6 linked regions of the Oryctolagus cuniculus genome follow. The protein of the gene in region 1 purifies or fractionates together with the protein of each later gene. This does not show direct contact. Links are inferred from orthologs where the notes say so. Each region holds a gene or a part of one and is shown in the gene's direction. Other genes may lie near its edges. The genes, in order: RNF146, PARP2, CHD1L, LIG3, HLTF and XRCC1.

The links.
Region 2: the proteins of RNF146 (region 1) and PARP2 purify together in Homo sapiens (affinity purification with mass spectrometry; 4 studies listed by BioGRID and IntAct, counting the BioPlex papers as one, with this or other methods). This does not show direct contact. The link is inferred for Oryctolagus cuniculus from reciprocal best matches to the Homo sapiens genes RNF146 and PARP2.
Region 3: the proteins of RNF146 (region 1) and CHD1L purify together in Homo sapiens (co-immunoprecipitation; 3 studies listed by BioGRID and IntAct, counting the BioPlex papers as one, with this or other methods). This does not show direct contact. The link is inferred for Oryctolagus cuniculus from reciprocal best matches to the Homo sapiens genes RNF146 and CHD1L.
Region 4: the proteins of RNF146 (region 1) and LIG3 purify together in Homo sapiens (co-immunoprecipitation; 3 studies listed by BioGRID and IntAct, counting the BioPlex papers as one, with this or other methods). This does not show direct contact. The link is inferred for Oryctolagus cuniculus from reciprocal best matches to the Homo sapiens genes RNF146 and LIG3.
Region 5: the proteins of RNF146 (region 1) and HLTF purify together in Homo sapiens (affinity purification with mass spectrometry; 4 studies listed by BioGRID and IntAct, with this or other methods). This does not show direct contact. The link is inferred for Oryctolagus cuniculus from reciprocal best matches to the Homo sapiens genes RNF146 and HLTF.
Region 6: the proteins of RNF146 (region 1) and XRCC1 purify together in Homo sapiens (co-immunoprecipitation; 3 studies listed by BioGRID and IntAct, with this or other methods). This does not show direct contact. The link is inferred for Oryctolagus cuniculus from reciprocal best matches to the Homo sapiens genes RNF146 and XRCC1.

What each region holds. Positions count from the first base shown.
Region 1 is NC_091436.1:42,374,730-42,378,936, reverse strand, and holds the start of RNF146 (E3 ubiquitin-protein ligase RNF146), read left to right. Parts: upstream 1-1,358; 5' UTR 1,359-1,498; intron 1,499-2,583; exon of another isoform or gene 2,584-2,722; intron 2,723-4,207. UniProt on the Homo sapiens protein: E3 ubiquitin-protein ligase that specifically binds poly-ADP-ribosylated (PARsylated) proteins and mediates their ubiquitination and subsequent degradation. May regulate many important biological processes, such as cell survival and DNA damage response.
Region 2 is NC_091443.1:54,400,920-54,404,500, reverse strand, and holds part of PARP2 (poly [ADP-ribose] polymerase 2), read left to right. Parts: intron 1-343; coding exon 344-394; intron 395-3,183; coding exon 3,184-3,280; intron 3,281-3,581. UniProt on the Homo sapiens protein: Poly-ADP-ribosyltransferase that mediates poly-ADP-ribosylation of proteins and plays a key role in DNA repair.
Region 3 is NC_091438.1:49,981,809-49,985,389, reverse strand, and holds part of CHD1L (chromodomain-helicase-DNA-binding protein 1-like), read left to right. Parts: intron 1-1,580; coding exon 1,581-1,695; intron 1,696-2,343; coding exon 2,344-2,452; intron 2,453-3,581. UniProt on the Homo sapiens protein: ATP-dependent chromatin remodeler that mediates chromatin-remodeling following DNA damage.
Region 4 is NC_091448.1:39,284,553-39,288,133, reverse strand, and holds part of LIG3 (DNA ligase 3), read left to right. Parts: coding exon 1-156; intron 157-1,562; coding exon 1,563-1,718; intron 1,719-3,225; coding exon 3,226-3,357; intron 3,358-3,581. UniProt on the Homo sapiens protein: Isoform 3 functions as a heterodimer with DNA-repair protein XRCC1 in the nucleus and can correct defective DNA strand-break repair and sister chromatid exchange following treatment with ionizing radiation and alkylating agents.
Region 5 is NC_091435.1:132,424,247-132,427,827, forward strand, and holds part of HLTF (helicase-like transcription factor), read left to right. Parts: intron 1-1,027; coding exon 1,028-1,152; intron 1,153-1,628; coding exon 1,629-1,819; intron 1,820-2,944; coding exon 2,945-3,070; intron 3,071-3,581. UniProt on the Homo sapiens protein: Has both helicase and E3 ubiquitin ligase activities. Possesses intrinsic ATP-dependent nucleosome-remodeling activity; This activity may be required for transcriptional activation or repression of specific target promoters.
Region 6 is NC_091449.1:12,350,171-12,353,359, forward strand, and holds the end of XRCC1 (DNA repair protein XRCC1), read left to right. Parts: intron 1-243; coding exon 244-337; intron 338-442; coding exon 443-575; intron 576-779; coding exon 780-831; intron 832-918; coding exon 919-1,058; intron 1,059-1,877; coding exon 1,878-1,968; intron 1,969-2,258; coding exon 2,259-2,334; intron 2,335-2,422; coding exon 2,423-2,536; 3' UTR 2,537-2,627; downstream 2,628-3,189. UniProt on the Homo sapiens protein: Scaffold protein involved in DNA single-strand break repair by mediating the assembly of DNA break repair protein complexes. Negatively regulates ADP-ribosyltransferase activity of PARP1 during base-excision repair in order to prevent excessive PARP1 activity.

The sequences.
Region 1 (4,207 bases):
TTCCTAATTAATAATATGAAGAACTGGAGTAGCTGAACTCTATTGTAGCCTCCCACTGAAGTTAAATCCCAGATGGGTGCCTGTTTCTGTAAAATGAAATAATAATAGTAGCTACCTCATGGTTTACTGTCAGGATTAAATGAGGTTATATATGTAAAGCACATTAACTACCAATTGTTAGTTAATATTAGAATTCTCTCTTCAAGCAGAAATCTTAAAGTACATTATCTGTTCATGGGTTGTGTAGGATAGAGGAGTAAAACCGGGTGGCTAAGAAGGTAGAGAATTAAAGTTGGAGGACATTGACTTCATTAGTATTCTATACTAGTTCGTCGAAATGGCATTAAAAGAAAAGTGATTTTTTTCCATGTACCTTTTGAATGCCCCTCACCCATGATTAGGATCCCAAAATAAACTATTTCAGGGGAATAACGGAAAATGTACAGCTTTCTATATGTATCAAGACATGGAAGATTTCCAATCTTGCACCCACTAATCTCAAAAATGCAACATCACTGAAAGACATTGCAGTGGAAGGTTGAAATATATACTCAAGATAAAGGACACGTTTTCCCCTCCTGTTCGTTCGTTTTACCACATATCAAGCTCATTTAGTCAGTTTCGGAAAAACGCAATGTAGGTGCTAAAACGGAGAACACGGCCAGTGTTTTGAAGTTTAAAACCACATGCTCGCATTCATTTTGCCCGTTTAATTTCAGATTCTTGCGAAGATTAATTTCTTCCTCTGGCGTCTTAGCTCGATTCTATTAAGAAGCATTGGTCCAAAACATGGTTATAATCCATTTTTTCCCCTCTGCATAAACTGCCCAGCCATTCAGAAGGTTTTATTTCTTGAGAGAACAAGCGGTACTTTCAGAAGGGGTCTTCAACCCAGAGCTCAGCTAGGCGCCCCAGGGCTTCTCTGGGGTCTTAAATTGGATTTTTGAATAGCACCACCTGCTGGTAGTGCCCGCGTCTTACTTCCCCTACGCAATATCTCTCCCTTGAGGATCTGCACGCTTTCAGGGCTCCTTGCCCTTAATACGAGTAAGGCAAAACCTAAGAGATCAGGAGCATCCAAGCAGCTGGACGGCGGGTTCCCGCAAGTGGAGAGGGCGGGTACCGGCGGCGCGCTCGAGGGCGGGGCCTGGGCCCGCGGCGGGAGGCTCGGGCGCGAGCTCTGCGAGCGCGAGGCGCGACTTCCGGCCCGCGCGGCCCCGCCCCCGCGACGCGCCGGGCGGTCACGTGACGGTCGCGCGCGTCCCCGGCCGCTGCGGGCTCCGAGGCCGAAGAGAAAAGACGGCGAGGTGGCCGGGGCTGTGGCCGGAGAGGAGGGAGTCGAGGCGCCGCCCTCGCGGAGGTCACGGCGAAGGCCCGCTGCTCCGGGATCCAAACTCGGGGGGAAGAGGCACGACTCGCGGTGCCTCCGGCAGGCTCGACGCGCCCCGGTCGGCCTGCTGTCGGGCCCGGAGAGGGGCGGCGGCGGGGTCAGGGCCCGGTACGTAGATGGACGCCCTTGGCCGGCTCGGTAGCTGCTGTGGCCGGGAGGCGGGAGGGGCCCTGCGGCCTCCCTGCCGCCCCCGCTCAGGCTGTTGTCGCAGGCACGAAGACTGTGACGGCCTCTGCATGGCCGCTTGGCCGCAGCCCCTGCGGTGGCGATGCCGGAGCTGGCCTGGGCCGAGGTGCGAGAGGCAGGGCAGCGGCCATTACTGCGCAGCCTCTTCGACCGGGTCCGCGTCGCCGTCTTTGGTGGCCGCCGGGTCCTTCTCCTCTTCCTCGGCCGTGGGGTCAGGCCTCTGCCGAGGGACCTGCTGGCCTCAAGGTGCAGGGACCCAGATGCTTTAGGGGTTACCTGTTCCCCGTGTGGAGTCAGAGACTTTGGGCCTGGGGTCCGATGCAAGCTAGGACATGGAGTGCCCGCGTTTTGTGTGATCCCGAGCGCCTTGGGCTGCTGTTTTTTCTCTCTCTCTCTCCCCACCACTGCTGCTTCTGCTTAGCGTCTGGGTCTTGCCTCATTGAAGGGAGCAGCTGCCCCACCTTGTCCTGGCGAGACTCAGCGCTGCACATTCACGGTTGTCTGGACGGCTGTGGACTCTTGGGGACCGCGAGAGAGCTCCGAGAGCCTCGGAGCCTGCCCGACCTCCCTGCGGCTTCTCGGCGGAGGTGGTTGCTTTGTTCTGGTTGCCGGGTGCGGAGGTCCCTCCCTGCTGTCCAGTTGGTCCGAGAGTGCTGGTCTTTCTTGCCTTCTGGTCGCTATTTTGTTTTCTGAGAGGCTGCAGCATTGCTTTTTGAGGGTGTGGAGAGGGCACCGTCCTTTCCCGCAGGGAGTAACTCCAGGATTAAGTTTATACACACACATGTTGGCAACTAGATTCGCTTTTTTTTTTTTTTTTTTTCATGTTCATCATTTCCGTCCCTGTTTTTATATTTCTCTTGTCCGAGTGCCATTTTAGTGAGCCCTTCTTTCTCAAGTTTGGGACGTCTTGTTTCCTGTTGGTTTATATTGAAACTGTGGAACTGAGGGGAGAAGAAAACCAAGAAAGGATAGAAAACGCTTTGTTCTTCCTGTGATTGACATTTCAGGTGCCAGGGACCCCGCAACTCCCCAACCCCCACCGGACCCCGTACGTGTAGTGTACACTTTTAAGTGGGAAGTGGATGTATAACGTTGGCACTGAAAGCAGTATATAATTACAGATTTTGGAAGACCTTGGACATTTTAGTAAGTGCATCTATATTTAGACTTTTGAATAAGCATGTTAGGACACACACAGAAAATGACCCCCACAGATAGGATTTGTGATGTTGAGTTTGTTGTTTTTTTGACTAGCAGATATTTGTGTTCAGAGTCTGGGTGCTGTGAAAACGCATGAAAATAGTTCAAGTAAACCTCATTTTAAAGAGAAAACTTGAAGAGTGAATAGCACTCTAAAAATAGATTTTGATCATGTTTGTTTTGGCCTTGTGTATCTTAAAGTGGACCATTTTAAGTCCTATTTTTGGTTTATAGTTTAAGTGTCAAATGAGCTAATGTAATGTAAGTTGGGACAAAATGAAAATAATGGCGCTTAAACATTTGAAGATTTTTTTGTGATTTGTCTGTTAAGAGGCTGACAAGGAAACTTTCTCCAAATAGCCAGTCATCAGGCAAGATGAAAAAAAAGGTGGTATTTTTTCTTTAGGAGTTAGGTCAACTGGCAAAATGTTTTTTTTTAGTTTCTGCCAACTTGAGTTGTCAGACGAAAGGAGGCAGATTTTTTTTTTAAAGGATCAAGAATAATTTCTTGACTTAGATATTATTGATTTTTTCCAAAACATTGATCTGGTTGAAGAATATAGTTTTATGTGTTAAGGATATACTGGTATTAAATACCTGACACACTGTCAGTTGAGAATTTGAGTGTGTTTTGTTGTTGTTTGGTTGTTTTTCTCTAGTACTAGTAATAGAAAGTACTGAGCCTTTGGCATTTTCTTGCCTAGTTTGATTGCCTTGTGACTTGAGGAATCTGAATTTTTAAACATGCTGGATTAGTTTGACTCTACAAACCTACTTGTTAAAACTAGGCTACAGCCACCTGTGTTTGCTTATAAATTCTTATGTAGTACTCACGGCCTATATTATCTTTGCGTTAATAAAAATAAAACCTATTGCTAAATGCCTGTTAATTAAAGATTTAAAATTTGGAATTACAGAATAGAGGAATCTGGTAAAAGACATGAGAATCATGACTTGACAAGGTCACACAGATAATTAGCAAGAGTCTTTGTTATTTGCAAAGTGGTTGCTTGCCATGATACTTACATGTGTTAATTAAAGTCAGTTTTTGTTCACATTTTATTTAAATGAAATGCAAAACCTACTTTCTCTAGGGAGGATTTAAAGTTGTAATGCTTATGTGTGAAGATTGTGAAGTCAGTAAATAGATTGCCATACAGTAGTATTTTTAAAAGGAGTGATACATAATAAGAGAAATAATTCTTTAAAATAAATTGTTGGACCTCATTTGTTTCAAATAAGTTTAAATTTTTCCAATTATGACCTTTAGGACTTGATTTTTTTTTTTTTTAATAGAGTTAGTGAGAGAGAGACAGAGAGAAAGGTCTTCCTTCCATTGGTTCACTCCCCAAATGGAAGCCATGGCCTGGCGCGCTGCGCCTATCCAAAGCCAGGAGCCAGGTGCTTCTTCCTGGTCTCCCATGCAGGTGT
Region 2 (3,581 bases), on another chromosome or scaffold:
GTTCAAATGAGAAACTGCCCTGTAATGGCATGAGTTACTGATGAATGTGGAAAGAAGTTTATTTTGATAAAAAAAAGACTTTGAAATCCATTCATAATTTTTTCATAATATGCACTTTTCATGAACTTTTTAAAGACCCTTCATATACCCATAGCTTTCAAAATAAACTTAATTTTGAATTCCATTTTCCACTAACTTTTTGAAGTACCCTCATATATTTGCCTTTCTTTCCCTGGCAGGTAGGTTCCATGGAAAGTGACACCTGGAGGCACAAGAAAAACATAGCGCCTCACTTTGAATGTCAGGGCTGAGACCATACTGATCTCGTCTTTTTCCTCTCCAGGCTCACGTGTATAGTGAAGGAAATGAGGTCTATGATGTCATGCTGAATCAGGTATGAGGGAGCCATTCTGTTGACCACCAGAGTTTCTTGATGTTTACTGCTGCTAGTATCTCAGTGCCCAGATCTTTAATCATTTAATTAAGGCCTTTAATTAAGTCCATTATATTAGCCACTACAGGGTAAACTCCTGAGTACTCAGCCCTGGCATTCTGTACCTGCTCTGTGAGAAGCAAATCATTTTGCAAACTCATATCTTTTATTGAACTTGTGAACTCTCTATGTTCTTTTTTTTTTTTTTTTTAATTTATTTGAGAGGTAGGGTTATAGACAGTGAGAGAGAGAGAGAGACAGAGAGAAAGGTCTTCCTTCTGTTGGTTCACTCCCCAAATGGCCTCAACAGCCGGCGCACTGCACCTATCCGAAGCCAGGAGCCAGGTGCTTCCTCCTGGTCTCCCATGCGGGTGCAGGGCCCAAGCACTTGGGCCATCCTCCGCTGCCTTCCCGGGCCACAGCAGAGAGCTGGACTGGAAGAGGAGCAACTGGGACGACTAGAACCTGGCACCCGGGGCTGCAGGCGGAGGATTAACCAAGTGAGCCACAATGCTGGTCCCTCTATTTATATTCTTTTTTACATTTTCTAATGATCTTTTTCTTACTGGCTTTGAGAAATTTCATATAACATGGAGATTTTAACAACCAACTAGTATTCCTTTATTACTACTTTTTCCACTCAACATATCATGAATGGATAGAAAATATATTAAGGCCTCTTTTTGTTCTAATATCCAGTGACTTTATAATGTGAATGGGAGGGAGTTGGCCTTCACCAAGGCTCAGCCTTCCAGTACTAGCTGTTGTACTTGCTTTATTTATTTATTTACTTTTTTTTTTTTTTTTTTTTTTTTGACAGGCAGAGTGGACAGTGAGAGAGAGAGACAGAGAGAAAGGTCTTCCTTTTGCCGTTGGTTCACCCTCCAATGGCCACCGCGGCCAGCACGCTAAGGCCGGCGCATTGCGCTGATCTGAAGCCAGGAGCCAGGTGCTTCTCCTGGTCTCCCATGCGGGTGCAGGGCCCAAGCACTTGGGCCATCCTCCACTGCACTCCCTGGCCACAGCAGAGAGCTGGCCTGGAAGAGGGGCAACCGGGACAGAATCCGGCGCCCCAACTAGGACTAGAACCCGGTGTACTGGTGCTGCTAGGCGGAGGATTAGCCTTGTGAGCCGTGGCACCAGCTACTTATTTTTTTAAAGATTCATTTATTTATTTTAAAAATGGAGGGGGCCACCACTGTGGCATAGTGGACACTGGTTCAAGACCTGGCGCTCCACTTCTAATCCAGCTCTCTGCTACAGCCTGGGAAAGCAGTAGAGGACGGCCCAAATCCTTGGGCCCCTATACCCACGTGGGAAAGTCCGGAGGAAGCTCCTGGCTTCAGATCGCTGCAGCTCAGGCCATTGTGGCCAATTGGATAGTGAACCAGTGGATGGAGACCTCTCTCTCTCTCTCTCTTTGCTTCTCCTTCTCTCTATATATAACTCTGACTTTCAAATAAATAAATATGTCTTAAAGAGGGAGGGAGGAAGGAGTTACAGAGGCAGAAAAAGAGAGAGAGAGGTCTGAAGCCAGGAGCGTGGAGCTTCTTCCAGGTCTCCCACATGGGTACAAAAGTCCAAAGACTTGAGCCATCCTTCACTGCTTTCCCAGGCACATTAGCAGGGAGCTGGATCAGAAGTGAAGCAGCCAGGACTTGAACAAGTGCCCTAATGGATTGCCAGATAGCAGCCAGTGGCTTAACCTGTCATGGTGCATGCCAGCCCCTGCTGCCATGCTTTATTATGGACTCCTCTCTCTCATCCCTTGGAGACTTACAGATACCTCTTTAATGTAGATACTAGTCATACTCATATTCGCTCTGAATGTCTCCAAGTTGAGTCAGATTAGAGATGGGACAAATGTAGCAATGTTTTCTACAAATTCTTTGTTCCTCCCCTCCACTTTCTCACATTGTCCTGCTGTCAGCTCATTGTCAAACTTCTGCAGCAGACAAATCAAAAATGTAAGTAGAATGATCAAAGAGGAAGACATCATCTAAACAAACAAGCAAATAGTTATAGACCTAGGGAGCACCTATAATATTTTCATTTGGGAAATAGAATTAATCACTGGGAATGAATTGAGAATTAGAAAACACAGATGGTGGGGCCGGTGCTGTGGAGTAGTGGGCAAGGCCACTGCGTGCAGTGCTCACCTCCCATATGGGTGCCAGTTGGAGTCCTCACTGCTCCACTTCTAATCCAACTCCCTGCTGACGTGCCTGGGAAAGCAGTGGAACATGGTGCAAGTCCTTGTGCCCCTGCACCAATGTGGGCGGCCTGGAAGAAGCTCCTGGCTCCTGGCTTCCCAGGCCGAGCCATTATAGCCATTTGGGGAGTGAACCAGCAGATGGAAGATAGATAGATCTCTCTCTCTCTCTCTCTCTCTCTCTCTCTCTCTGCTTCTCTGTAATTCTACCTTTCAAATAAATAAATCTTTAAAAAAAAAAAAAAAAAACAGAAGGCCTAGGGAAAAAAATCTATGAAGGGAGCTGAGGCAGAAAAAAAAAACAGGAGGAGATGGTTAATTGGTTGATACTGGATATTCGAGGTTAGGTAGAGGGTTTAATGAAGATTCCAGGTTCCTATTTTAATTCCTAAGAATCCCAAGCTTAATATATAGACATAATTTATTCTTTATGTCTAACTTTTCCCTTGTAAAAATTAGCAAGAAACAGTCTGGTTTGTGTGACTTCCATTTGCAAAACTATCTCCTTTCATGTTTGTTTTTCTCTTGCTCATTGTAGACCAATCTCCAATTCAACAACAACAAGTACTATCTGATTCAGCTATTAGAAGATGATGCCCAGAGGAACTTCAGTGTTTGGATGAGATGGGGCCGAGGTAATGATTTTATTCTAGATTTTGTGAGTTGTCATTCAGAAAGCCAGAAACAACTTAGTGAATGGCCGAGAGTTCCTATGGGTTTAAATTGGTTACATGCAGGCTCTGAAGTCTAGGAGGTGCTTAGAAATCAAATTGAGCTTCTGGAAATTGGGGGATGCTCCCATTAGAAAAACTGAGAGCAGCCCATTGAAGCTGAAAACTTGCAGTAGGACTGCTGGTGCTGCTCCTAGAGGACGACAGTGAGCAGGTAACAAATCAGCATGATCAGTTCCCTTAGCCCTCTCGACCTTCCCTTGTC
Region 3 (3,581 bases), on another chromosome or scaffold:
AGATTCTGAAAAATTCTTTACCCTTGAGAGCATTTACAAAGTAAATGTTTTTCACTATGGAGGTTCCTGGAAAATTAAAAATAGAATTACCATATGATCCAGCAGTCCTCCTCGCGGGTATATATCCAAGAGAGAGGAGATCAGCCAAAGAGACATCTGCACTCCTGTGTTTATGGTAGCACTAGTCACAATAGCCAAGAGATGGCACCAACCCAGCTGTCCGTCAGCTGATGTGTGGGTGAGGAACATGTGGTACATTTGTATAATGGAGTGCCACTCAGTCATAACGGAGCATGGAATCTTGTCATTTGCAGCAACACGTATGCAACTCCTAGAGGTCATCACATTCAGTGAAATAAGCCAGCACAGAAAGACGAGAACTGCACAATCTCACTCATGTGGTGGCTAGAAAAGTTTATTGTAGATGTTGACAGTGTAACGGGGGTTGCCAGGGCTGGGGAGAGTGTGACTGATGGTCCTGTATTATAAAGTTAGATATGGATAAGAAGTTCTGATTTTCTGTTGCACAGTAGAGCAGCAGTAGATAATGGACTGTGTTTCTCTCAAAAACTGGAAGGATTTGAATGTTTGTACCATAGAAATGATAAATGTTTGAGGAAATAGTTATGCATATTTCTATACATATATAAACATAATTTTTTTAGTTAAAGGGGGAAGAAGTACATGCTTTGGACTCTGGTTTTAATATCGTTTTATTTATTTGAAAAAGTTGCACAGAGAAGGAGAGGCAGAGAGGTCTTCCATCCACTGGTCACTCCCCAATTGGCTGCAACAGCTGGAGCTATGCTAATCCAAAGTCGGGAACTTCTTCCGGGCCTCCCACGTGCGTGCAGAGGCCCAAGGACTTGGGCCATCTTCTACTGCTTTCCTAGGCCATAGCAGAGAGCAAGATTAGAAGTAGAGCAGCCGGGCCGGCGCCACAGCTCAATAGGCTAATCCTCCGCCTAGCAGCGCCGGCACACCGGGTTCTAGTCCCGGTTGGGGCGCCGGATTCTGTCCCAGTTGCCCCTCTTCCAGGCCAGCTCTCTGCTGTGGCCAGGGAGTGCAGTGGAGGATGGCCCAGGTGCTTGGGCCCTGCACCCCATGGGAGACCAGGAAAAGCACCTGGCTCCTGGCTCCTGCCATCGGATCAGCGCGGTGCGCCGGCTGCAGCACGCCGGCCACGGCGGCCATTGGAGGGTGAACCAACGGCAAAGGAAGACCTTTCTCTCTGTCTCTCTCTCTCACTGTCCACTCTGCCTGTCAAAAAAAAAAGAAGTAGAGCAGCCGGGACTCAAAGTGGCACCCATATGGGATGCTGGCACTGCAGGCGGTGGCTTTACCTGCTGCTCCACAGCGCCAGCCCCTTAATGTCATTTTAAAAAGGAAGAAAGGCCTACATAAAGTTACCAGAAAATCAGAATGGAAATGATGGGGCATGAGGGCAGACATTTAGTAGGGTAGAGGAGGCAGAACATCAAGAGCTGGATTCATAAAGGGCTGTGTCCCCTCCATGGGCAGGTCCCTCAGGTGGCCACATAGCTGTCTCATGGCACTCCTTTAATGGTTGTTCTTCCTAGTTGGCCTTGGTCGTGGCTCAGCACCGTGATCGCTCCAATGTCCTTTCTGGCATTAAGATGGCAGCCCTGGAAGAGGGCCTGAAGAAGATATTTTTAGCAGCAAAGAAAAAGAAAGGTAAACTTTTAACACCTTGCTCAGGTGTCAATGAACTGTGACTTAAGTTTGGAAGGGAGGTGAGAAGTCTTAAGACCCCATTCAGCATGCATGGTGAGGGTAAACCACGGGAGTAAGAAACCCCTCAGCTTTTGTTTTACAGCTTTTCCTTTGCGAGTCATTTTTATACCCATTATCTCTGCGGACCATCGCCATCTGCTGGGTATTTTTATCGTGATTTGACAGATGAGGAAGCAGAGCAGGGCAGATGAAGTAACTTGATCATGTGCTGTTTATTGTCTCTGCCCTTGGAGAGACGTAGTCCCCAGTAACATACACTGTCTGCCAAAGGAGTTGAGTTTAGCTTCTAAACCAAGTGTTTCAATGTTTATGGAATTGATTAGCTTGTTAGATACTCGTTGCTTATTTTAATTGTGACTCCACCATCAATCATCTTCCATCTCCTTATTCGCAGAGCCTCCAGCTCCTTGTGCTCAATAGAATTACTCATTTTTTCCCCTATTACAGTCCCTCCCCAGATATTTTTGGCATTGTGATTGTATTCTTTGAGTGGAACTTTCAGTTATTTTCTCCTGTGTGTATTTTGTAACCATCAATGAACTTTTGATGAGTGAAGATGTCATGATCTCTTTTTTTTTTTTTTAATAGCAAGTGTTCATCTGCCACGTATTGGACATGCCACAAAAGATTTTAACTGGTATGGTACTGAGCGACTTATTCGGAAACACTTGGCAGCACGAGGCATCCCAACTTACATGTATCCTTTTGTGTGTTATCTAATGGTATGTTTTCTCAGCTCAAGGGGGATAATCTGGTGCATTTTCTGGTGCTGTTCTGTCATCCAAGGCCGTACCCTCTCCTGCCACTTTCTTCCTTCTACTCTTCTTTAGGGAGCCACAAGCCAACACTTTCCAAGTTGTCTGTATCTAATGTATACACCGAAACCTTCCTGGATGCCTGCAGATTAAAAGATACGTGTAGGGGAGAAGTAATGGAACAATTGCCATTTTGTAATGTACTAGGTAGCTTCAAAAAGTTCATGGAAAATGAAGTTAAGTATTTGGGTTCAAAAAACAATTTTAAATTTATACATACAAAAGTCTTATTATGTAGCAAAATAAACTTGCATTTACTTGGAAGGCAGTGCAACAGAGAGGTAAAAAAAGATCTATTATCTGCCAGAGCTGGGCCAGGCTGAAGAACTCCATCTGGGTCTCGCATGTATGTGGCAGGGGGCCAAGCACTTGAGCTCTTATCCACTGCCTCTCAGCATGCATTAGCAGGGAGTTGGTTTGGAAACACAGTAGCCAGAACTCAGTGGGCACCCTAATAGGGGCTGTGGGCATTCCAGGCAGCTGCTTAACCCCATCAACTGTCTTAATTCCACCTGTCCATGAACTTTTTGAAATTCCCTTGTGTTGAATCTTTTTCACATCACTTCCTTAGCGACTCTTCCAATCAGTGGACCAAAGCCTAATTCTTTTTTTTTTTTTTTTTTAATTTATTTTGACAGGCAGAGTGGACAGTGAGAGAGAGAGAGAGAGAGAAAGGTCTTCCTTTGCCGTTGGTTCACCCTCCAATGGCCGCTGTGGCCGGTGTGCTGCGGCCGGCGCACCACGCTGATCCGATGGCAGGAGCCAGGTGCTTCTCCTGGTCTCCCATGGGGTGCAGGGCCCAAGTACTTGGGCTATCCTCCACTGCACTCCTGGGCCACAGCAGAGAGCTGGCCTGGAAGAGGGGCAACCGGGACAGAATCCGGCGCCCCGACCGGGACTAGAACCTGGTGTGCCAGCGCCGCAAAGCGGAGGATTAGCCTAGTGAGCCGTGGCGCCGGCCCAAAGCCTAATTCTGAGCCCATCATTCTAAAACAAACCCTTTACCTAAAT
Region 4 (3,581 bases), on another chromosome or scaffold:
GACCCCAATGCCTATGAAGCCTTCAAAGCCTCGCGCAACCTGCAGGACGTGGTGGAGCGGGTCCTGCGCAATGAGCAGGAGGTGGAGAAGGAGCCAGGCTGCAAACGGGCTCTGAGCGTCCAGGCCTCTCTGATGACGCCTGTGCAGCCCATGCTGGTGAGGAGCACGCCCCTGCCTCTGCTGCCTACGCCTCTCCAAGCTGCACATCCCTCACAGTGAGGTCTGCCTGGCTGTGAATGTTGAGCTCGTGTGAGTTGACCGGAGAGGTCTGAGGAGAGTGGAGATGTGAGGGAGCATTTCTTGATGGGAGTGTGGAAGCAAAGCAGAAGACAGGCGATCCTGTGGGAGGACCTGAACCCAGTCCCAGCTCTGCCACCACCAAGCTGTGGACTGTTAGATGAGTTGTGTATCCTCCTCAGACTAGTTTTCTTGTGTGAGTGGCATGTGTGATTCTCTGAAGCATCGTCTCAGGTGCTTTATCTTACCTGAAGACACGTGGATATGTAAGTAACCTCTGAGGCTCTGTGTCTTGCTGGGAAGTAGCTCTGAGAGTGGGCAGCAGAGGCTTCCTGTAACGGGATGGCCTGGGGAGAGAGGAAGCTTAAGGGGCGTCTGTTCCTTTCATGAGAAGTCCATGTCGTTTCTGGCAGTGGTTCCCCTGTGCATTGGCACCCACCCTGTCCACTACCCTGTCTGCTGTGAGACTCTGGGTTTCCCAGAGCGTACAATGCTTTTTCTGGAACTGCCTTAACGTTACATTAAAGCTCCAGCATAAGGTTCTGTGTTTGGGAGAGGAAAATGTTCTCTCCCCACTAGGAATGTGAGAATAGCCATCACCAAATTAGTGAGATCTTGCTGCCAAGGCTGCTGGAAGAATTCCTTCCGACTCTCTGTGGCCTGACACTTGAAGCACTAGCATAGGTTGTACAGCTTAGTGCTGTTAACCACACAGGCTTTGGAGTTAGGCCTTGATTCAGATCTTACTGCTGCTATTCACTAGCCATGTAACTGACCTGCAGTTTCTCATCCATAAAACGGAAACCGTGTTTGTCACATAAGGTGTCACAGCAGGGAGGAAATACGAGGAGGGGTGTGATCCCAATGGCAGCTGCTGTTGTTTGAGTACCTGGCACAGGTACGTGAGCACCCCTGCGTCTGAGTGCCCTATCCTGGGGATCCCTAACTGCTGTTCCCCACCAGCCACCTTACCTCTACTTCCCTCTTGTGCTGAGATAACTGATGGCTCTAGTAAAAAGCCAGAGGCAGGCAAGAGTCTAAATTATTGAGAAAAATAGGCCTGTTGCCATGGAATTTTGTTCTACAACGAGTAACATTCACATTTCTTAAAATGCAAGGTCGATGTCAGCTCTGGTGAGGACTTTGTAGTCAGAATCCAACATTGCCCAGCCCCTCGGGTTCCCATCACCTCGTCAGCAGCCTGTCTGATCCTACACTGGGCCATGTGGTCCCAGGATCTGAACAACCCTTTCCTTGCTCTTTGGCTGTCCTTGCTAAGCAGCCCGTTGCTCAAAGGCTCCAGGCTTTGCTTTCCCTACCCTAAGGCTGAGGCCTGCAAGTCCATCGAGTACGCAATGAAGAAGTGTCCCAACGGCATGTTCTCCGAGATCAAGTACGATGGCGAGCGAGTCCAGGTGCATAAGAATGGCGACCACTTCAGCTACTTCAGCCGCAGTCTCAAACCCGTCCTGCCTCACAAGGTATGAGTCTCTCCCTTCTCGCCAGGACTCTGTCCCACCTGCCTTTGAGAATCTCAGGGCCAGAGTTCCATAGGCATTCCAGCTCTGGGACACGTTAGGGTTTGTTTATTGAGTGAGTGAATTCCTCTTTGGACTCTTCCAATAACAAAGAGCTACTCAGTATGGAGAGCCACAGCCCAACCTTGGCTTTGTCAGGAGAGCTCACTGGGACAGGGATCTTGCCCTCAGTGCTGCTGGGACAGGGAGCTCAGCTGGTGAGTCGCTGTGCACGTCTTCTGCCCTTCCATGACCTGTGTGCTGTTCCTGGGCTAGATGAGGATTGTGTCCGAGGAGCTGTTGGACTGGCATTCGTTAATTTGCTCAGCAAATATTTATCCAATGTTCTAGCACTGTTGTAGCTAGTGGACAGGTAGCACTGAAGGAAATGGACAAGAGTTCCAGCCCTCAGGAAGCATGTGTTCTGACAGAAGCACGTAACCATGGGGACATCTACAGACACCACCGGCTGCCACAGAGCTTGAGCAGCCCACTGCGCAGTCCTTCCCAGACCGGCTTAGGAGTGGGGGGATTCCTGACTTTGCTGCCTCCTTCTTGCCCAGCTCCAACTCGGGTTTTCAAACCGCTGGCCTTTGGCAGGATGTGTTGTGTGGGCAGGTGCTTACTTCAGCCTTAATTTGTGCTGGAGCGCTAGGAACAAAGCAGGACTTCCAGAGGGAGCCGAGCAGTGACCTCACGTGGAACATGAGTTCAGGTTCAGTTGTCTGTGCAGCGCCGCAGCCGCTCGGGAGCTGCTCTGGAGAGGCTGGTGTTAAACGGGTACTTCCTGTGACGCAGGAAGATGTCTGACTCCCACTTTCCCTTTAGCAAGGTTCACATCCTCGCCTAGGTTTTTGGTTTTTAAAGGGCTGGGCTGGGGACTGAAGGGAGCGGGGTGGAAGGGCAGGCCTTTGCTGATCCTGTTCAAGCCTCCTGGTGGTGACGGCCTGTTTGCTGTGGCCAGGTTTGGACTTGGGACCGGACCCCTTGCTGGTCTCACTTGGGAGGGACTATCTGGCTTACAGTGGGACCTCTCCTATCTGATGCTGTCATGAATGAGGACTGTGCCACCATCAAGAGAAGTCCAGTTCCAGATATTCTTTTTCATTCTAAAGACCCTGCTCTCCTTTTGTTGTCCTTTGTCTTTAACCAGTCTGTTCTCCCTGTCCCATTCCTCATCCTGAGGTCTGTCCTCTACAAGGAGCACTGATCTCTGCCTGCTCCTGCCTTCCTCCCTCCTCCTCCTCAGCTTCTTCCATTTTTCTCCAAAACCCTTCCTGTTCTGCATCCCACAGAGGATGACTCCATGTTAGCTGAGCTTCTCCCAGGTCTGGACAGAGTGACCGAGATGACCTCTCTCGCTCTTGTCCTGTGGCTGGGCTTCCATCCCTTGTTCTGTGTTCCTTCTGGGGCTTGGCTGCAGGTCCCTGTCACCGTTCACCCCTCACCAGGGCTGCCTTCCTGCTTCCAGGTGGCTCACTTTAAGGACTACATCCCTCAGGCTTTCCCTGGGGGCCACAGCATGATCTTGGACTCTGAGGTGCTCCTGATTGACAACAACACAGGAAAACCACTGCCTTTTGGGACTCTGGGAGTGCACAAGGTATTGGTTGGGGCCGTATGTGTGAGAACAAAGTGTGCATGTGTGCGTGCTGTCATTCTGCAAAGAGAATATGTCACTTAGGGTAGAGTTTAGTCTTTGCTTCTGAACTATTTCTGAATTTAACCTTGAGCTTAGATTTTTTTTCTCTCATAAAGGAACCAACTTATAACTGGGCTGGTTTCCATTTAGCACCTGGTAGCCCAGGAATTCAGCACACATCAGAA
Region 5 (3,581 bases), on another chromosome or scaffold:
GCCAGGAGAGTGGCATAATTTGATTTACTTTGTTTAAGAAGATTTATGTATTTATTTGGAAGGCAGAAAGAGAGAGAGAGAGAAACAGAGAAAGCAAGAGAGATCTTCCATCCACTGGTTCATTCCTCAGCAGCTGGAGCTGGGCTGGGCCAAAGCCAGGAACCAGGAGCTTCATCCAGGTCCCCCATGTGGGTGCAGGGGCCCAAGCACTTGGGCCATCTTCTGCTACTTCCCCAGGCATAGTAGCAGGGAGCTGGGTAGGAAGTGGAGCAGCCAGAATTTGAACTGGAGCCTGTGCAGGATGCCGGTGTCACAGGTGGCAGGTTAACCTGTTGTGCCACAATGCCAGCTCCATGATTTACCTTTTAAATGGATCATTCTGGCTTTTGTGTTCAGATTTAGATTGTTGGAATAAGGTCATCAGTAGGGAGAGCACTGCCAATAATCAAAGGGTTGATGTTGGTGTTTACCATAGTAATAGTGATGAAATGGATGAGAAATGTTTGGACTGTTCAGAGCCAACAGAACTTGCTGATTGGTGGGATATGGTGTGTGTGAGAGAAGAGTCATAGATACTCCACAAAGTTTTTCATGTGAATGGAAGGATGGAAATGCCATTCACAGAGATGGGTCTATGGGGGGAGTAGAGTTTTTTTCAGGTAAGGTAAGAAGCTCCTGCCCTTAGTCTTGTTTCTGAAAACACAGGGCATCCATGTGTTTCTTCACTCAGTTTGCCTTCCCTGCTCTTTGTGTAAAATTGTTCAGAGAATTTCATGTCAACAGGCATGTGCCCTGTTTCTGTTTTTGTACATGAGAGGTAATTTTTCCATTCCGTTTTGAAGAAATGCATGTCTGTTCCAGATTTGCAGTTCTGTTTTCCTATCGTTCTTTTACTGCAGTTGATAGCCGTTTTGCATAAGTTGGGCTTTATTGTTGCAAATTTCTGTTTTTTCATTTTTAATTTAGAATGATTTTCAGAGGAGATGTTGTTTAGAGGATATATAATATTTAACATTTTTATCTCTAGGTATTTTAATGAAGGGACTGTCCTTGCACACTATGCAGATGTCTTGGGTCTTTTACTTAGATTGCGGCAGATTTGTTGTCATACTCATCTTCTTACAAATACAGTGTCTTCCAGTGGTCCCTCAGGTAAGAAAATATGATTAGTTCATGCCATTATATTTTTTGCAAATACTTAAATCAGAATCAGAAATTTTTTACATAGCCTGAATTTGGTTGGTCATTTTGTGCTGTCAGATGGACATTGCTTTTGGTATAGGACATTTGGGAATATATCCAAGAATTTTTTACCAATGAAATGGAATTATAATGAAGTCTTTCCAGGATTTTCAGATTTCTTTTAAGATACCCTTAAAAGAAAGAATCACATTGGAATTGCCTTTTAGTCTGTGCTGGTGTGTGTAGATCGTAGTGTATTGGTAATTCTCTATGAGGTAAATTGATTTGGTTTCTATACTTCTGAATATTTCACAAAATTTCAAATTTAAATCATGCTTTTTGCCTAGGACAGAAAAAGATGCAGTGGCAAGCAAAAGTTTCCTTTCTCTTCAGTAGATTAATTTGTCAAGTCGTGTACAAATCTTGCTTTGAAATTAATTTTTCAGCCTTCTCTCTAGGGAATGATACACCTGAAGAACTGCGAAAGAAGTTAATAAAGAAGATGAAGTTAATTCTGAGCTCAGGTTCAGATGAAGAATGTGCTATATGCTTGGATTCTTTAACAGTTCCTGTGATAACACATTGTGCACATGTATTTTGTAAACCTTGTATTTGCCAAGTCATTCAGAATGAGCAGGTTAGTGTTTTGCTCAGTACGGGTCCAGTGTTCTCTGTAGTGGTGTACCTGTCTGTAGCATAATAAAACCCAAGTTCAAGAGAGTATAAGAAGTTTTGTACTTGGATTTAATAGTACAACTTTTGTAGCTAATTATTCTAATCTTTAATTGGTAATATACTTCTCATTAGTGAAGCTCTTTAACACAAAGAGATATTATTTTGGAGGCATTGTTTCACAGTTTCCTAGTTCTGCTGTCTAGATTATTGCTGTCTAACAATATATTGATAATTTGTGAGAGACACAGGGAATTTAAAATTTCCTCATAGTTGTATTAAAAACATAATTTAATCATTAATGCATTTTAATTTAATGTATCTGAAATGTGAATAGTATTCATGTGATATACTACATTGCCTCTTTTTTTTTTTTTAAGCTAAGTCTTCAAACTTTGGTGATATTGTACACTTATATCACCTTAATTTGGCTTAGTCACATTTCTAGGGCTTAATTGCTATTGTTTTGGATAAGGAAGGTCTAGATTAATTTGTATAGAATTTTTTGAAAAAATCCTGAAATCCTTGAGCTAGAGTAGATTTTTTTATGGTTTTTAAATTGATGTATAACATACATGTAGAAAAATGGATTATCATGATTCTGAATTGCATTGACCTCTAGCATCAATTTTAGTTTCATAATCTTTTTTATTGTAATGGTGGTTAGAGTCTAGTTTTTAAGGTGTAATCTTATTTTATTAGTGGGTCTTAGTACAAATGGATACAACACATGTTGCAAACTAATAGCTGTGTAAGTAATTAACAAGGACTTTTTTCTTAAAGAATAACTCCAAATAGCATGATCTATTTTAGTTTCATTCAAGGCATTGTATTCATGGTTTCTGTACTTGCCTGCAATTGGTATAAATTAGTGTTTTAAGCTTGTGCTTGGTTAAGGGTAAATACTTTTGCTCCTTCCTTTACCCATCTTACTTAGCACACATATTAGAACACTGTATCTGTCTGGATTTCAGCAAATTTTTCTCAAATAATGAATGTAACAAGTTTAATAAAATTTTGTTGTGAGAAATAATAGAATTGATATTTTTGTTCATCTTGTAAGTGTTGCTCATACTTTGTTTTTATATAGCCACATGCAAAGTGCCCTTTATGCAGAAATGATATACATGGAGATAATTTATTGGAATGTCCTCCAGAAGAACTGGCATGTGATAGTGAGAAAAAGTCCAATATGGAATGGACATCTAGTTCAAAGGTAAAATAATATATGCAAATATTTGAGTATTTGTCTTACATTTATATAAGGAAATATACATCAAAGTTATAATTCTGCTTTTAGTCCTGTCAGTTGATTGTTATATTCTTTTAATGGATGTTGGCTTATATTCTTTGGATGGGTGTTGGCTTTTTATTTCTTTTTCAATGCTGAAATTGAGAGGTAGGAGAACAGTTTCAGAGTATTGCAGTTATTTCAGTCTTTTTTTTTCCCCAAAGAAATCTTTTATTTCATGAATACAAATTTCATAAGTACAACTTTAGGAATATAGTTATTCTTCCCACCATTCTGACCTTCTCAACCCTCCCTCCTCCTCCCTCTCCCTTCCCAGTCCTATTCTCCATTAAGATTCATTTTCAGTTAACTTTGTACACAGAAGATCAACTCATATGCTAAGTAAAGACTTCAACAATTTGCGCGCGCGCACACACACACATACACACACAAATATTGTTTGAGAATCAGTTTTATGCTTAACTCTCATAATACA
Region 6 (3,189 bases), on another chromosome or scaffold:
AGTCCTCAGGAGAAGCCGACTTTGGCTCCCAGAGGGAAAGTGATTTCCGTCTGGTTTTCCCTTTCTAAAACGGGACGAGGAGGGAGGCGAGGGAGGACGCCCGGGGCCTGGATGGGCAGCTGGACAGCAGGGGTCTGTGGAGCGGGCAGGCCAGGAAAGAGGCCCCGAGCGCCTGCCGGATGCGGGGCTCCTGCCGCCCCAGCGGCCTCGTGCCTCCCTCCGGACTCCACATCCCGCCCCCAGGTACCTCATGGCAGGACCCAGCTCCAGCAGCGAGGACGAGGGTGGCTCTCACAGCGGCGGCAGTGGGGACGAAGCCCCCAGGCTTCCCCGGAAGGTTTGACCAAGGCCCTGCCAGTGGGGAGGGGGACAGGGAGTTACGTGGTTGCCCCAACTCCCCACCCCAGCCCCCCACATACCCACACTGCCCCTCCTTCCTCAGCGTCCCCAGACCAAAGCCAGGCCCCCTCAGGCAGCTGGACCCAGCTCACCCCAGAGGCCTCCAACCCCCAAAGAGACCAAAGCAGCCTCACCCGCTCCCCAGGATGACACAGACACTGAGGGGGAGCCGTCAGGTCAGAGTCCGAGGGAGGAGGGCTGGGGCCGGGGCCCCTGGGTCCGAGGGAGGAGGGCTGGAGATCCAGACTCCCGTGTGTAAGGGGAGAGGGGTCTGGGGGGTGGGTGGCGGGTCACCAGATGCCAGGCGGCGAGGTGGGGAGAGGGCTCCAGCCTTGCAGAAGACACAGCACCTCCTGGCACTCACCGACTCCCACTCGCAGGACAAGACGATGGGGCCGAGGATTCTGGGGACACGGAGGACGAGCTGAGGAGGTAGGGCCGGGCTGGGGTCAGGGCCGGGCTCCAGGGCTGCGGGGCATCTGCCCCACCTGCTCACCCGCACCCCCTCGGCTTCCCCAGGGTGGCGGAGCAGAAGGACCAAAGGCGGCCCCCTGACCAGGGCGAGAACGGCGAGGACCCGTACGCGGGCTCCACTGACGAGAACACGGACAACGAGGATGAGCCGGAGCCGCCCGACCTGCCAGTTCCTGAGCTCCCAGGTGGGGCTCCCTCCGTCCCTGCTGCGGGCCGGTGCCGTCCGTTCTTGCCTTGACCCGGCCCAGCCAGTCCGGGGGTCACTTCACTGCTGGCTCCCTCTTCCTCCTCGGCCGCCTCCAGGCCTCTTCCCTGTCCCTGTGGCTTACCCATGACATCCCCTTTTGTCCCCACCCCCTCTGCCTCCTCCCCTCCAAGCCCAGTGCCAGGGGTGACCCCTTGGACATGTCCCCCAGGTGAGTGGCCGCCTGGGCTGGTGCTTCACCCACCCCCCGCAGGTGCACCTGTCGGGTGGGGGGACACGGGCACCGCTGTCCATTGGAACCTCGGTGGGCATGCCTGTTCACTTTAACACTAGTCATCATCCTGGACCAGTGGCCACGGGTGTGGCGGGGGCAGGAGCCAGAGCCTCCTGGGTGGAGGGGAGGCCCAGGCCACTGAGCAAACTTGGCAGCTGGCTCCTCATGGGTGAGGGGTGCGCTGTACTCTGATTCTCCAGAGCCCCCAGGTAGCATCAGTCGGTGGCCTGGGAAGTCACGGGAATGGAGAGGAAGGAAGCCACCCGGGGGTGGGCGAGAGGACGCTGCCTGGGGAGGAGGGAGCCCCAGAGGTGGGTGCAGCGTGGTTCTGGGCTCGCCAGCAGGGGCCCGGGATCGCGCCTTCCCTCCAAGCAGAGAAGCAAACCAGCAGCCTCCGGGGGGCGCTGTTGGGCTGGGCACCACTGCCTGCCGCCCCGTTTGGGCCCAGCGTTCTCTGGCTCCTGGCCGGTGTCGTGGCACTGGTGGGGGCGGGGGCTCACGCTGCCTCTTCTCCGCCTCTCGCAGACTTCTTCCAGGGCAAACACTTCTTCCTGTATGGGGAGTTCCCCGGGGACGAGCGGCGCAAGCTCATCCGATACGTCACCGCCTTCAACGGGTCAGTCTCCAGAGGGTGGGAGGGCGCAGGGTCGTGGTGGGAGGAAGAAGCTGGGGAGGGGGAAGGGCCGTAGTCCACAGGGGGCGCGAGCCGTGGAGCGCAGGGCCCGCGCTGTCCACAGCTGCAGTCCTGCGTGCGGTGCTTCCCTGTCCTCTGCTCTGAAGGGCCGCTGTCACTGACCGGCCGCACCGGCCTCTGGGAGAACGCGGGCTCCGCCAGCAGGGGGCAGAGGGTGGGAGGAGGAGCCCGCGGCTCCCGGCCCCGCCCACAGCCTCTCCCCCACCCGCCAGGGAGCTGGAGGACTACATGAGCGACCGCGTGCAGTTCGTGATCACGGCACAGGAGTGGGACCCCAGCTTTGAGGAGGTGAGTCCTAGAGGGGCAGACAAGGGGGGCCTCATTGTCCTGCAGCCCTCCCTTCCGGAACCCCATCCTCCCCCTCTCCCACCCGCAGGCCCTGATGGACAACCCGTCCCTGGCCTTCGTCCGCCCCCGCTGGATCTACAGTTGCAACGAGAAGCAGAGGCTGCTTCCGCACCAGCTCTACGGGGTGGTGCCCCAGGCCTGAAGAGTGCGGGGCACACGCGCACACACGTACATACACGCACATGTGCACACGCACACGGGAGGTGGGCTTAATAAAGACGACTTGGTTTGCAGCACCTGCCCCTTGGCACACAGGAGTCCCCCACGCCTGTCTCCTCTCCCCCGTGGGGCCAGGAGGAGATGGCCCCTCCGTCTGGGGGGGCAGGGCTCTGCCTGTTCTCCCCGGCCCCACCGCCCGTGTGGGAGAGCAGGGAGCTGAGAATCTGATGGTGCCGCAGCCCAGGGAGCCTGTCCTGCCACCCGGTCCTCCCGCCGTGGACCGTGGGCTGGAGGCCTGGACGGCTGGACGCCCGGGAGGTGTGCTGCTCTCCAGGGGCCTCCCCTTTGCCCCAGGGCCTCCAGAAGCCGCCGGGGGCATCACCAGTGTGGTTTCACCTCACCTCATTTAGGAGGTGGGTGGGAGGGGGGCCCTTCAAGGCTCTACCAGTTCCAAGTGAGAGCTGAGCTGTGTCAGGCAAGCAGGCAGGGGCCGCGGCATGTGCAAAGGCCAGGGGGCGGGAAGCAGCCCAGGGCAGCTGGTGGAGGACTGCTGCCCTCTGTTTCAGGGGCACGTTCAGCGGGAGCGGGCCCAGTCCTCGCAGCTGTGCCGTCCCGGGCAGCAGACACAGACACCCG